Linked DNA regions of Astyanax mexicanus. The protein of the gene in region 2 purifies or fractionates together with the protein of the main gene of each other region. This does not show direct contact. Links are inferred from orthologs where the notes say so. Each region holds a gene or a part of one and is shown on either strand. Other genes may lie near its edges.

Region 1 (3,756 bases), on a different chromosome or scaffold from region 2:
GAGGAATGTGGGGGCAATGGCAAAACATTTTCAGCTTGTACATCTAAAGGTTGTCTATTGTAGATTTTGAGATGTTTGGGATTTGGGATAATTGTCCTGCTGTAGAGGCCGTCCTCTTTTCATCGTATCTAATCTTATCTAATTTCATATGGTGTGACATTTTCCTAGATAATTTGCTGCATAGATGTTACATTTTAGTGATATCTGTGCTTTAACACACCCCCTGCAACTTATAAAGGGCTTGTTAATTACCTGATTAGTTAAACTGGGTGTGATAGAAGAAGGAGAGACATAAATGCCGGGCACAGTGGTAACTAAGGGGTTAGAACATCACGTTATTATTGACAGGGTTGTGGGTTTTATACCTGGGTTCAGCAAGCTTCTATTGTTCGGCCCATAAGCAACCCCCACAGCACCTGCAGGCACTGCAACGAAGGCTGCCCACTGCTCCAGGTACAAGTCCTCACACTGTGTGTGTGTGTGTGTGTGTGTATGTGCTAGTGTGTTAACTAAACAGATTAAAATGAGTCAAAAGTGAGTTTATATTTTCTATATCTTTGCAATAAAATAATTTAATTATTTAGTATACAAGATATTCCTCAATTAACTTGTTTTTAATCATAGTACATCCTTATTTTTTTTACCGTTCTTATTTTTCAATAAAAGCCCCTTAATGCGCAACATGGGTCAAAAATTATTTCATTTTCTGTTAATTCATGTATGGCTGAGTGTTTCTATGAGTGTTTTTATTTTCCTTTATTACTTTATGAAGAAGAAGCTTTTGTATTTCTACATCAGTTTTATTCTCGTAATATTACAACTTTATTCTTGTAATATTACAACTTTAATCTTGTAATATTGTGAATTTAATCTCGTAATATTGTGAATTTAATATTGTACATTTACAACCTTATTTTCGTAATATTACAACTTTATTCTTCTAATATTACAACTTTAATTTTGTAATATTGAGAATTTAATCTCGTAATATTGTGAATTTAATCTTCGTTATATTACTTTATTCTTGTAATATTGCAAGTTTAATCTTGTAATATTATGACTTTAATCTCTTAATTTTACGACTTTAATCTTGTCATATTACGACTTTATTCTTGTAATATTGCGACTTTCATTTCGTAATATTACGACTTTAATCTCGTAATTTTGCGACTTTAATTCCGTAATATTAAGACGTATTCTCGAAGTAAACCGTTTTTATTTTTATTTTTTTAAGAGTGGCCCTAAAACGCCGCCGTAGAAAACCCGTCTGGTTGCTGTGTATATTTTCCAGAGGCCGGGCTTTTATTTTGAAGTAGTCCAGATGAAGCCCAGTCGGAAACGGCCCCCATATTTTTCTCTGTTGTTCCGTGTTTTGTGCCCCGTGGCGTTTAGTTCCCACGTTTGTTTTGCAGAGACTGGAGGATATCCTCTCCGTTTAACGCCGCGAGCAGCAGCGCGGGATCCGAGGTAAGCGAGCGCCGCCGCCGCTGTGCTGAGTTTTATTCAGTAAATAACTTGTAGCGGAGAGTTAGTGAGGGGAGTGAGCTGCTGCTGCAGCCTCTCTCTCTCTGTGTCTGTGTTCCTGTAGCTCCTTCAGCCAGATCATCAGCTGCCTCTGTATTCATATAACATTTAAACACAATATTTAACCAGCTCATTCTGTAGCAGCGACCGACAGACATTCATTCTTCTGATTTGGCATTGTCAGCGCGTTAGATTAACCAATAACCCTAAGTGCTTTTATTGTTCCTCAGATCGATTTAAAAGTATTGTTTGACCAAGCTTTATATAAGCTGCATACATGTAAAGTCTCAGGTCTCTTATAGAGATAAGAAACATTTATATTTAACTGGTGCAGCACTTTTCAAAATAGAGAGCTATTAACCCATAACAGACCAGACCCATTTATAAATATTGATACTAAGATCAAAATTAAATCACCTAAATTCAGTGAGCAGCTCTTTCGTGATTTTTATTGTGGGAACATGCCTCTGTATTTAAAACATTTCTCCCAAATTCCAAATAAAAATATAGTAATTTAGAGCATTTATTTGCAGAAAATGGGAAATGGCTGAAATAACAAAAACGATTCATTCATATTCATAAAGTTTTAAGAGTTCAGAAATTAATATTTGGTGGAAAAATCCTCACAGATTTCATGCATCTTGGCATGTTCTCCTCCACCAGTCATATACATTGCTTTTTAATAACTTTATTCCACTCCTGGTGCAAAAATTCAAGCAGTTCAGCTTGGTTTGATGGTTTGTGATCATTCATCTTCCTCTTGAATCAAAAAACTTGTTTTATTTTTTTCCAGAGCTGTAGTATATACTTATGTACATGTTACATGTTAATTCTCAGGTCCCATTTTTTTGCCTTTGAAACATTATATTAAACTAATACAGTACTCTTTAAAACAAAGAGCTGTTAACTCATGGGATCCCAGATCAATTGAATATTAGTACCAAAATAAAAAAGTGAATCAGATCAATTCAGTGAGCAGCTCCCTCATGATTTTCTTTTATTGTGGGAACATGACTTATGATTTTAATCAAAAAATCCTGATTACAAGTGACACAACCAGTTTCATAACTGGTATTTTAACATCCACCTCTAGAAATCAGGTCAGGACTAGTTATATGGAATGTTTTCTCGTGGGAACATTTAATGAAAGCAATTGTTCAAATGGTTGAAACAGAGACCTGCTGAATCAATAAAATACTCCTACATTCTGTAAATAGGTCTGATAGTAATGCTCTCAAGATGTTCAGTATGTGTCTCTGTGACGTATATCATCATGGGCTAAAACTGTTATAGGTTAAAACTGTGCATTTTTCATTTATTTGTCACCCAGTTTTAAAAGAATTAGTTTATTAACTACCTGTAACTAACTGTTATATTTTTTATTTTGTTAATGATTAGGGAAACACCACAGCCAATGGCTGCCAAATAAAACAGAACATTTATTTTAGTGAACAGTGATTATTTTATTTATTTATTATTTATGTTTTGGTGTTGTGTATGCTGGGTGTTAATGTTTATTGTTCAATAAAATAGTTAAACTGTGGTTTTGCAATTTCTTGCTTTTTGCTTTGAAAAGCAAGACAAGAGTTGGGTTAGGACTCCACGATATTAAAAAAAAAACTCAAATTGCAATTGTATTTATTCCACACATAATATTGTGATATTTAAAAAATACAGGAATTTGTCTCAAATTAATAACAAAATAAAATAAATATTATTGGACAGAAGGAATCTGCTTATGGTAGACATGTCATAGAAAGAAAGTACAGCTATACAAAGCTATGCTTTTAAAATAATGCTACTCTTAGCACAATATGGATTGTTTAAAATCCCAACATAAGTGTTTGATGATGTATTGTGTACGATACATTATGTCACACCAATACTTGGTATTATAAAGAATAACAAAGAATTAGCTTTTCGTCTTTCTACCAAATTGCGATAAAAATAATACATTTCTTGTTGCCACTAAGTCTTTTTTGTAAGTTGAGCTGGCATTTTTTTTCTGCAAGTCCTCCAGTGTTCCTAAAAACTTAAAATGGTCTATGTGAATTGTTTCCCTCACATTCTCAACTGTTGTCCACACAGTGGCTGTATTTCCCAACACAGTCTTACGAGATAGATTGATTCAGATCTGCTGTTGTTTATGAGATGACTTGATCTTTCTTACACGCTCACTCTCTTTAGCATAGTCACATGAGGATGATTGTGGTAGATTGTGTATGGTTCTGT
Region 2 (3,756 bases):
TCCTTCTTTCTTTTTCTGATTTCCTTATATTTTTCTGCCTAACTTTCCTTTTTTTTTACACTCGTCTTTCTTTCTTTCTTTCTTTCTTTCTTTCTTTCTTTCTTTCTTTCTATAGCATATAAACTGCATAATTAGCACTAGTAGACCTCTCACACACTGATATACCAAGGTTTAAGATTAGATTAAATTAGATTATTTTATTTTGTTATCTTATTTTTTCTTATTTCATAGAACACAGCAAGAGTTCTGATTATTCAAATGACTGAATAATATCCAGCCAAAGAAAAAGGATCTACAGGTATTATTATACCTACATAATTCCTTCAATCTCTCATTCTTAAAAGTTATGTTACAGTAATGATTGTTATAAGTATAAAAAGTTAAATAATTCTGACACAATAACAATGATAAAAATGATATTATAAGAAGAATATGAAATATGTTAATTGTTTAGTTGTATTTAATGTAACTGAATGTATGTAAACTGTTAAAAAATAATGACATTTTATAATTACAATAAATACATAAAAATAACAATAAGAACCAAAATTAATCTTTTATTTCAGCTTGGGGGTGGGACAACATAGAGTTTGGTCTTCAGAAAATCAGAATATCAATATCAATGTCAATTAAATTTAATTATGGATAGATTAAGTATTAAAGTAGTCACATTATATCAATATCAATAAATTACATATTAATAAAATAATCTTGAATGTATTTATTCTTTTTAAAGCAAGCTTTTCTAAAACTATTTTTGTTTATTTTTTTATTTATTTTATTTTATTATTTGTATAGATATTTCCATAGTATTTTCTTCTTTTATTTCATGGTTGCATTACTTACTTTCTTATCCTATTTTTTTAAATCATTTTCTTTCTTTCTTTCTTTCTTTCTTTCTTTCTTTCTTTCACTCTGCATGCCTTTTAATGTATAAAATCTCCGTGTACTTTTATTTTGAAAGGTTGCACTGGTCGCTTCCATGTTTGAGGAAGTGTTGACGTTGATTATCTCCTGGATGCGGTGGCTCGCGCTGATTATGAGGAGATATGAGTAGATTATGAGAGATGTTTTTAGATTTATAGAGGAGTAATGGGTGTTTCGGGGTTCACGGCTGTTCTGGGGGCGCTCGGCGGGCTTGATATCGGGAGCAGCGGCTCGTAAAGCCTCTGAGAGCGGTAGAATGCTGTGCTGTGGTCCGAGCCCTCGGGCCGGTTAGCTGTAGCTGTAGTCAGTGTACGGAGCGGTCAGTCTGTTGGAGATAATTATTACTATAGAGTACTGTAGCTCTGTGTACCTGTGTTTATATGAAGCAGTTTGGTCAGGTTAGTTAACTTACAGTCCAGCAGAAACACGATGGATGAGAAGTACAGCAGTAATGTAATCTCCGGGGGGAAACTGGGGAGAGTTGAAGTGCCTAATGCCAGGTAACCGGCTCTTTAAAGGTCTCATTCTGTTCTGTTGTGATTGTATTATCATTATACCAACAGCATAAACATTTCCCTAGAATGGCAATAATACTGTTTAATCACAGTTTTTTGGGACGGTATGTCATCCATAAAATGAGTTATTGTGACAGATCTGTTGTCAAATGCAATGAGAATATAATTGTTCAATTTCTGTTGATGTTTTATATCTTGGCCTCATGTTTATTTTGTTAATTTCAGGTTGACCAGATATATAGTCCTACTTCTACTCACCAAGCTGTTGAAGGCTCTGGGAATCTTTGAATCCTATGATCTCCTTAAAGTTGTACATGTTGTGCAATTCCTTTTTATTCTTAAATTTGGGTAAGTGTTTTTTTTTTTTTTGTTTCTTTTTATTCAGTACATTCAATAATAAAACTTTATTTTTATATAGCGCTTTTCTAAAACCTGAAGACGCTTACAATCATCATTAGTAGAAACATAGATACAAACAATAAAACAACAAGCAACAGCAGACACATCAACCTAACAGTAGTATGACAACTAGACAGCAGATATGAGTGGTAGAGCACATTAAACCGAGGGAGAGCCATAGATGAGTGAGTCTTGAGATTCGATTTAAACATAGAAAGAAAGGAAGATTGTTTTTCCGCAGATGGGAGAGAATTCCATAGTTGAGGAGCAAGAGGATGGGACTTTACAATATGAACCAAATCCATTTGTACATGCTAACATTTCCTAACATATTTCCTTTCCGGTATGTCTCTCTAACACAGGTGTGCAGTGATTTTACTTTTCTTTCAAAAACCATTCTCATCAGGAAAAATAGTCTCTAAAAGACAGGTATGTGTTGGATAGATACTGCTAAACATTTTACAACACTTTGTTAAACAGTGTATCAAATTGACGATTAACATCACTACCAAATGCTTCTCTTTCAGTGGATCAAAATCCTCAAACATGCTGTTATCAGCTGCATAATCTCACTCATAGGCTTTTTTGGGCTTACACTTTGTGGACCACTAAGGTGAGTCTGTGACCCACAGCTATTAAACTCTTAAACTTAAACTCTATCCTGTTTATAGTTTTGTAATTTTATCATGACCAGGCAACTGAGCTGAGTTTATTTCTGCAGGACGTTGCTGCTGTTTGAGCACAGTGATGTGGTGGTCATCTGTTTTCTCAGCGTTCTCTTTACCAGCTCTGGAGGAGGACCCTCTAAGGTTGGACATGTTGAAGTTGATGCTATTTGCAATAAATTGTCAAAGACTATTTATGAATTTGGTTTGATTGATTGTTTGGTTTTGTTTTGTTTAGACACGAGGCGCTGCTTTCTTCATCATTGCGGCCATCTGTCTGCTGCTGTTTGATAATGATGACTTAATGGCAAAAATGGCTGAACACCGTATCCTTTTTTCCAGTGTCAGTGTGAAGTGTTTAGACAAAAAAAATTGATAATCTGTTGTATATCCGAATATCGATGTGGAATGCATCTTTTCTTTTTTTCAGGCTAAGTAGTTGTTTGATGCAGACATTGTGGATCTCTACCCAATGTTGCCAACTTTTTGTCTGTAGAGTATTGTTTTCAGAACCCTCTAGCAGAGTATTTTCAAAAACTATAGACAAGTCTATTGACTCTTTGTACCAGCTTACCGCTACATTGCACAGAGAATCACTCAAAATGCACATTATAGTATCACAAGTGTCTTACAAGCCTTTAAATGCATGCTTCAATGCAACTCCTTTTTGTGATTTTCTACATTTTAACACAGTCAATATTTACACCCAAACCACTCATTAGGACTCCCCCTATCACTAGTAATGCTACAACACCAGGAGTGTGAAGACTAGCACATGCATGCCTCCTCTGATACATGTGAAGTCAGCCACCACTTATTTTAGATCTGCTGCTGATGCAGCATTGTCGAGTAGCATCACAGCGCACTCGGAGGAAAGTGCAGCGGCTCGGTTCCGATACATCAGCTCACAGAAGCCTTGTGCTGATCAACATAACCCTTTGGAGTGATAAGGGAGGAGCGCGCCATCTACCCAACCAGAGAGAGCAAAGGCCAGTTGTGCTCTCTCAGGGCTTTGGCAGCTGATGGCAAGCTGCATGACTGGGATTTGGGCCAGCGAGCTCCTGATCGTAGTGGTAGCACTTAGCCTGCTGGACCACTCGGAGCCATACTTTTCTCTTTTAAAACATTTTACAAAATCCAATAGTTTTGCACTTTTTTTCAGTTTGGTTTTATTTATCTGGTACAGAGAGTAAGAGACTGTAAAGTCTTGATATGTGACCTTAGGCAGAATGTTAATATGACATGATCTT
Region 3 (3,756 bases), on a different chromosome or scaffold from region 2:
AAAATATGAATATTTAAAAAAGGTGACTTAAGTGCCTAAAGCACAAACAAAAAACTAAGTAAAAAGTAAATGTAACAAAAATAAATAAATAAAAGTAATAAAACTTCAAAAACAAATAATATTCGAAATGAGCATTTTTTTTGGAAAATATTGTTTGGAGACTAAATCAAATAATAATAATAAAAAAAACAATAAAACAATAAAAATGCCAAATAGAATTCCTCCTGAAATCTTAAAAAAAGTTGAGTGTCTTAATTGCTTAAAGTAAAAGAGCAAAATAAAAATAAAAAAGAAAATCCTCAAAAGAAAAACTTTCAAAATATGACCTTTTTAGTGTCTAAAACGCATCAAGTAACAATAAACAAACAAAAAAAGGAAAAGAAAACAATGATATCCACATTAAGTGTCCACAAAACTTAGCTCAAATAAGTCAAATAAAATAAAATTTAAAGGGGGACATTTTATAAAAAGTGGACTAAATGTCTAAAATATATTGAAGTAAAACAGTAAAACAAACAATAATGAGTAAATAAAGTTGAAAGAGTGTGTAATTCCTAATTTATAAATTCTTCACTTTAACCCAATTGAATATTTTATTGTTAACAGCATTAACAAGTATATAGTTATATAGTTAGTTTAACTTTTTCTTTATTTTACTGTTAATTCCCAGATTTGTAGTGTAATGATTTTATGTTAAATGTGAAACTCAGTGAGAGGAGGTGGAGCGCCACCTGCTGGGGACTGGAGCTGATTACACGCCTCTGGATTACACTGATGACGAAGGAATTCATATCAAGAGTTGCCAGATTCGCGTTTTTGCGCCAAATCGGGCTTGTTTGAAAATCCATTAGCCGGTGAAAAGTCTGGGGTGGCAAGGTGCGTTTTGGGGCTACTTTTAAAAATGACAGCGTCCGCCAAAAAACAAAAAAGCGGGGTTCGTCTTGTTATGTCAAACGTGTACGAGTCGACACTAAAATAATTAATAATTGGAAGATTGATTACATCAATAAGAACCAGAAAATGATGGAAAAAATATTAAAGAGAAGAGAAGAGAGTTCGAGAGGGGCAAGAACAGAAAAGAGAAATTAAACGTTATTGTTTTGCTAATTATGTTACTATTAAATGTTCTTGACTGTGATATAAAACTGCTGTAAAATAAATAATAAAACACTAATATTACAATATTATTAATGACTTTAAGATAAATAGCAATACTGGTAATAAATCCCTCATAAACAAAATACTAAGTCGTACACTCGAAATTTGCCATTTGCTCCGAACTTGTGATAGACACGTTAGGCTTTTGAAGGGAGGATTTTAGACTGACTTTGGGCTGGATACTTTTGTTGGACCTGGCAACCCTGCATCTAACCCAGGAAGCGCTTCACCTCCACCGGCTCTCCGTCATTACTGTAGTGCAGTAGCTGTTTTAACAGCAGCGCCTCGCTGATGCAGCGCTTTATTAACGCGTTATCGGTGTGTTTTTGGGATTAGCGATTCTCTGACAGAAGATGGGGTCCTCTAATCTCCACCACGCCTTCAGGTCTGTGTGTGTTTGTGTGTTTTTTTGGGGGGGGGGTATTTAAGTGTATTTATACCTGCAGCACCTGGAGTAATGTTCCTCAGGGAGTTGTAATAGAAGAGGAGCTGAGGTCGCTCAGGACCTGTGTGTGTTATTTATTTATCTGGCTGTGTGCTCTGTACAGATGAGGGCTCTGCTGTTTGGAGGCTGGGTGGTGCTTTATGTGGCGGTTCTGCTAGCAGCGCGGAGGAGGATGTGGTCTGGGAAGTACGTCCGCAGTCCTCTGGCTCGAGCCGCGATTATGAACATGGTGACCGACACTGAGTTTACAGGGCCAGACTTCCAGGAGGTAAATATCCCTTCTTTTTAACGTGAATTCAATAATATACCTATGTAATATACATATATAATGTGTTTGCTCAGATTTACTGAGGGTTTAGTGCCAGGATGTAAGGACTGTTCTATGTCAAATATTAATTTCTGAACTCTTGAGCTCTGGGAAAAAAAATTAAACCACTACAGTTTCTGAATCAGTTTTTATGATTTAGCAATTTATAGGTATATGAGTAAAATGAACATTGTTTCTTTATTCTATAAACTACGGCCAACGTTTCTCCCAAGTTCCAAATAAAAATATTGTCATTTAGCGCATTTATGTGCAGAAAATGAAAAATAGCTGAAGTAACAGATGCAGAGCTTTCAGACCTCAAATAATGCAAAGAAAACATGTTCATATTTACAAGTATTAAAGATGTCAGAAATCAATATTTGGTGAAATAACCCTGGTTTTCGTGCATTTTGGCATATTCTCCTCCACCAGTCTTTCACACTGCTTTTGGATAACATTATGCCACTCCTGGTGCAAAAATTCAAGCAGTTCAGTTTGGTATAATGGCTTGTGGTCATTCATCTTCCTCGTGATTATATTACAGAGGTTTTCAATTTGGTAAAATCAAAGAAACTAATGATTTTTAACGTGGTCTCTTAACTTTTTCCAGATTTGTATATATATTTCAATATTTCAGTGAATATTCATGAGAAGGATTTCTCTGCTTAGGAAAAAAAACAGTCTAACCAGCTTGAGCTGGCTAGACTGGTTGCCCCGCTTAGCTGTTGTTCAGGAGCTACAGAGCATGCTTTAGCTTTAGTTTTGGGTTTGATGGTTTAGCTGGTCTAAACCATGATCCTATTGACCAAGCTAAACAAATTAGTGAGCTAGCTATGACAGCTAGGGGGTGGGCGATATGACCCTAAAATATTTTAGGGTCATATTTTGTTATATAGGGTTATATAGGGTATTTTTGTTATAACTATATTTTTGGTGATATAAAAACCATGGTTTTGTTTTAAATTAAATTAAAGATTATTCTGCTGTAACTGTGCCTGTCACAATAGTTACATTATTGACTTGTACAATAAATTTCACACAACCACCATACTATTTGATAATTGTGATTAGAGGTGCGACATATTGTATTGTACGCAATAATATTGGCAACATTTTTGAATAGTGTTAAAGATATTATACCCTGAAATATCGTGCATATCACCCACCCCTAATCATCACATCAGGGTACTACTTTTCTGGCTGTTTTTAGCAAAAGTAAATTTTACACTGTTCTCATTTCCCATTATATTTCTACTAGAGGCTGATAATATCTATCCAGTATCATTCGTTTTACTTTAAACCTGGAGACATTTGAGTGCAATATTAGTATGATGATATTCTGCGTCATTGACTTTTGTTACAATAGATGACCAGCTTTTCTTCATCAGGGATGTGCATGTGATTGATGGATGGGCCTTGTGTAATTTCAGTGGTACCGTTGCTGTCCTGATATGCTTGGTGAGAAGATTCGACCACTGTTTGTGCAGAGTAATTTAGACACAGACACTCAAACCTTTCTTGAAAACAGTGTAGAGAAATCTGGATGGCTTTTCACACAACTCTACCACTCGTTCTTCTCCACCATCTTCAGTCCCATCATCTCAAGAACGTCCATTAATGGGTAACTCGTAGCAACACTTTGTTCATTTTGTTTAGAGATGTTGACTGAATGTATTTACACAGGCACAACCAACATTTAATCACAGATGTGATGTGATGAAGATTTAGGTGTTTAAAAAAGTTATTTAGTTCTAATTTTTAAAGACAAAACCATATAACATTAAGACAGAAATGTAATTTTGTTTACCTTAGTATGTTTATCAGTCTCAGTGACAGCTTAATATTA

The links.
Region 1: the proteins of slc30a5 (region 2) and csgalnact2 purify together in Homo sapiens (co-immunoprecipitation; 3 studies listed by BioGRID and IntAct, counting the BioPlex papers as one, with this or other methods). This does not show direct contact. The link is inferred for Astyanax mexicanus from reciprocal best matches to the Homo sapiens genes SLC30A5 and CSGALNACT2.
Region 3: the proteins of slc30a5 (region 2) and mettl9 purify together in Homo sapiens (co-immunoprecipitation; 3 studies listed by BioGRID and IntAct, with this or other methods). This does not show direct contact. The link is inferred for Astyanax mexicanus from reciprocal best matches to the Homo sapiens genes SLC30A5 and METTL9.

The regions. Positions count from the first base shown.
Region 1 is NC_064414.1:37,655,864-37,659,619, forward strand, and holds the start of csgalnact2 (chondroitin sulfate N-acetylgalactosaminyltransferase 2), read left to right. Parts: upstream 1-1,320; 5' UTR 1,321-1,467; intron 1,468-3,756. UniProt on the Homo sapiens protein: Transfers 1,4-N-acetylgalactosamine (GalNAc) from UDP-GalNAc to the non-reducing end of glucuronic acid (GlcUA). Required for addition of the first GalNAc to the core tetrasaccharide linker and for elongation of chondroitin chains.
Region 2 is NC_064408.1:19,571,359-19,575,114, forward strand, and holds the start of slc30a5 (zinc transporter 5), read left to right. Parts: upstream 1-966; 5' UTR 967-1,356; coding exon 1,357-1,427; intron 1,428-1,667; coding exon 1,668-1,790; intron 1,791-2,203; coding exon 2,204-2,270; intron 2,271-2,368; coding exon 2,369-2,454; intron 2,455-2,562; coding exon 2,563-2,650; intron 2,651-2,744; coding exon 2,745-2,832; intron 2,833-3,756. UniProt on the Homo sapiens protein: Together with SLC30A6 forms a functional proton-coupled zinc ion antiporter mediating zinc entry into the lumen of organelles along the secretory pathway.
Region 3 is NC_064422.1:28,298,412-28,302,167, reverse strand, and holds the start of mettl9 (methyltransferase-like protein 9), read left to right. Parts: upstream 1-1,390; 5' UTR 1,391-1,543; intron 1,544-1,706; coding exon 1,707-1,871; intron 1,872-3,340; coding exon 3,341-3,531; intron 3,532-3,756. UniProt on the Homo sapiens protein: Protein-histidine N-methyltransferase that specifically catalyzes 1-methylhistidine (pros-methylhistidine) methylation of target proteins.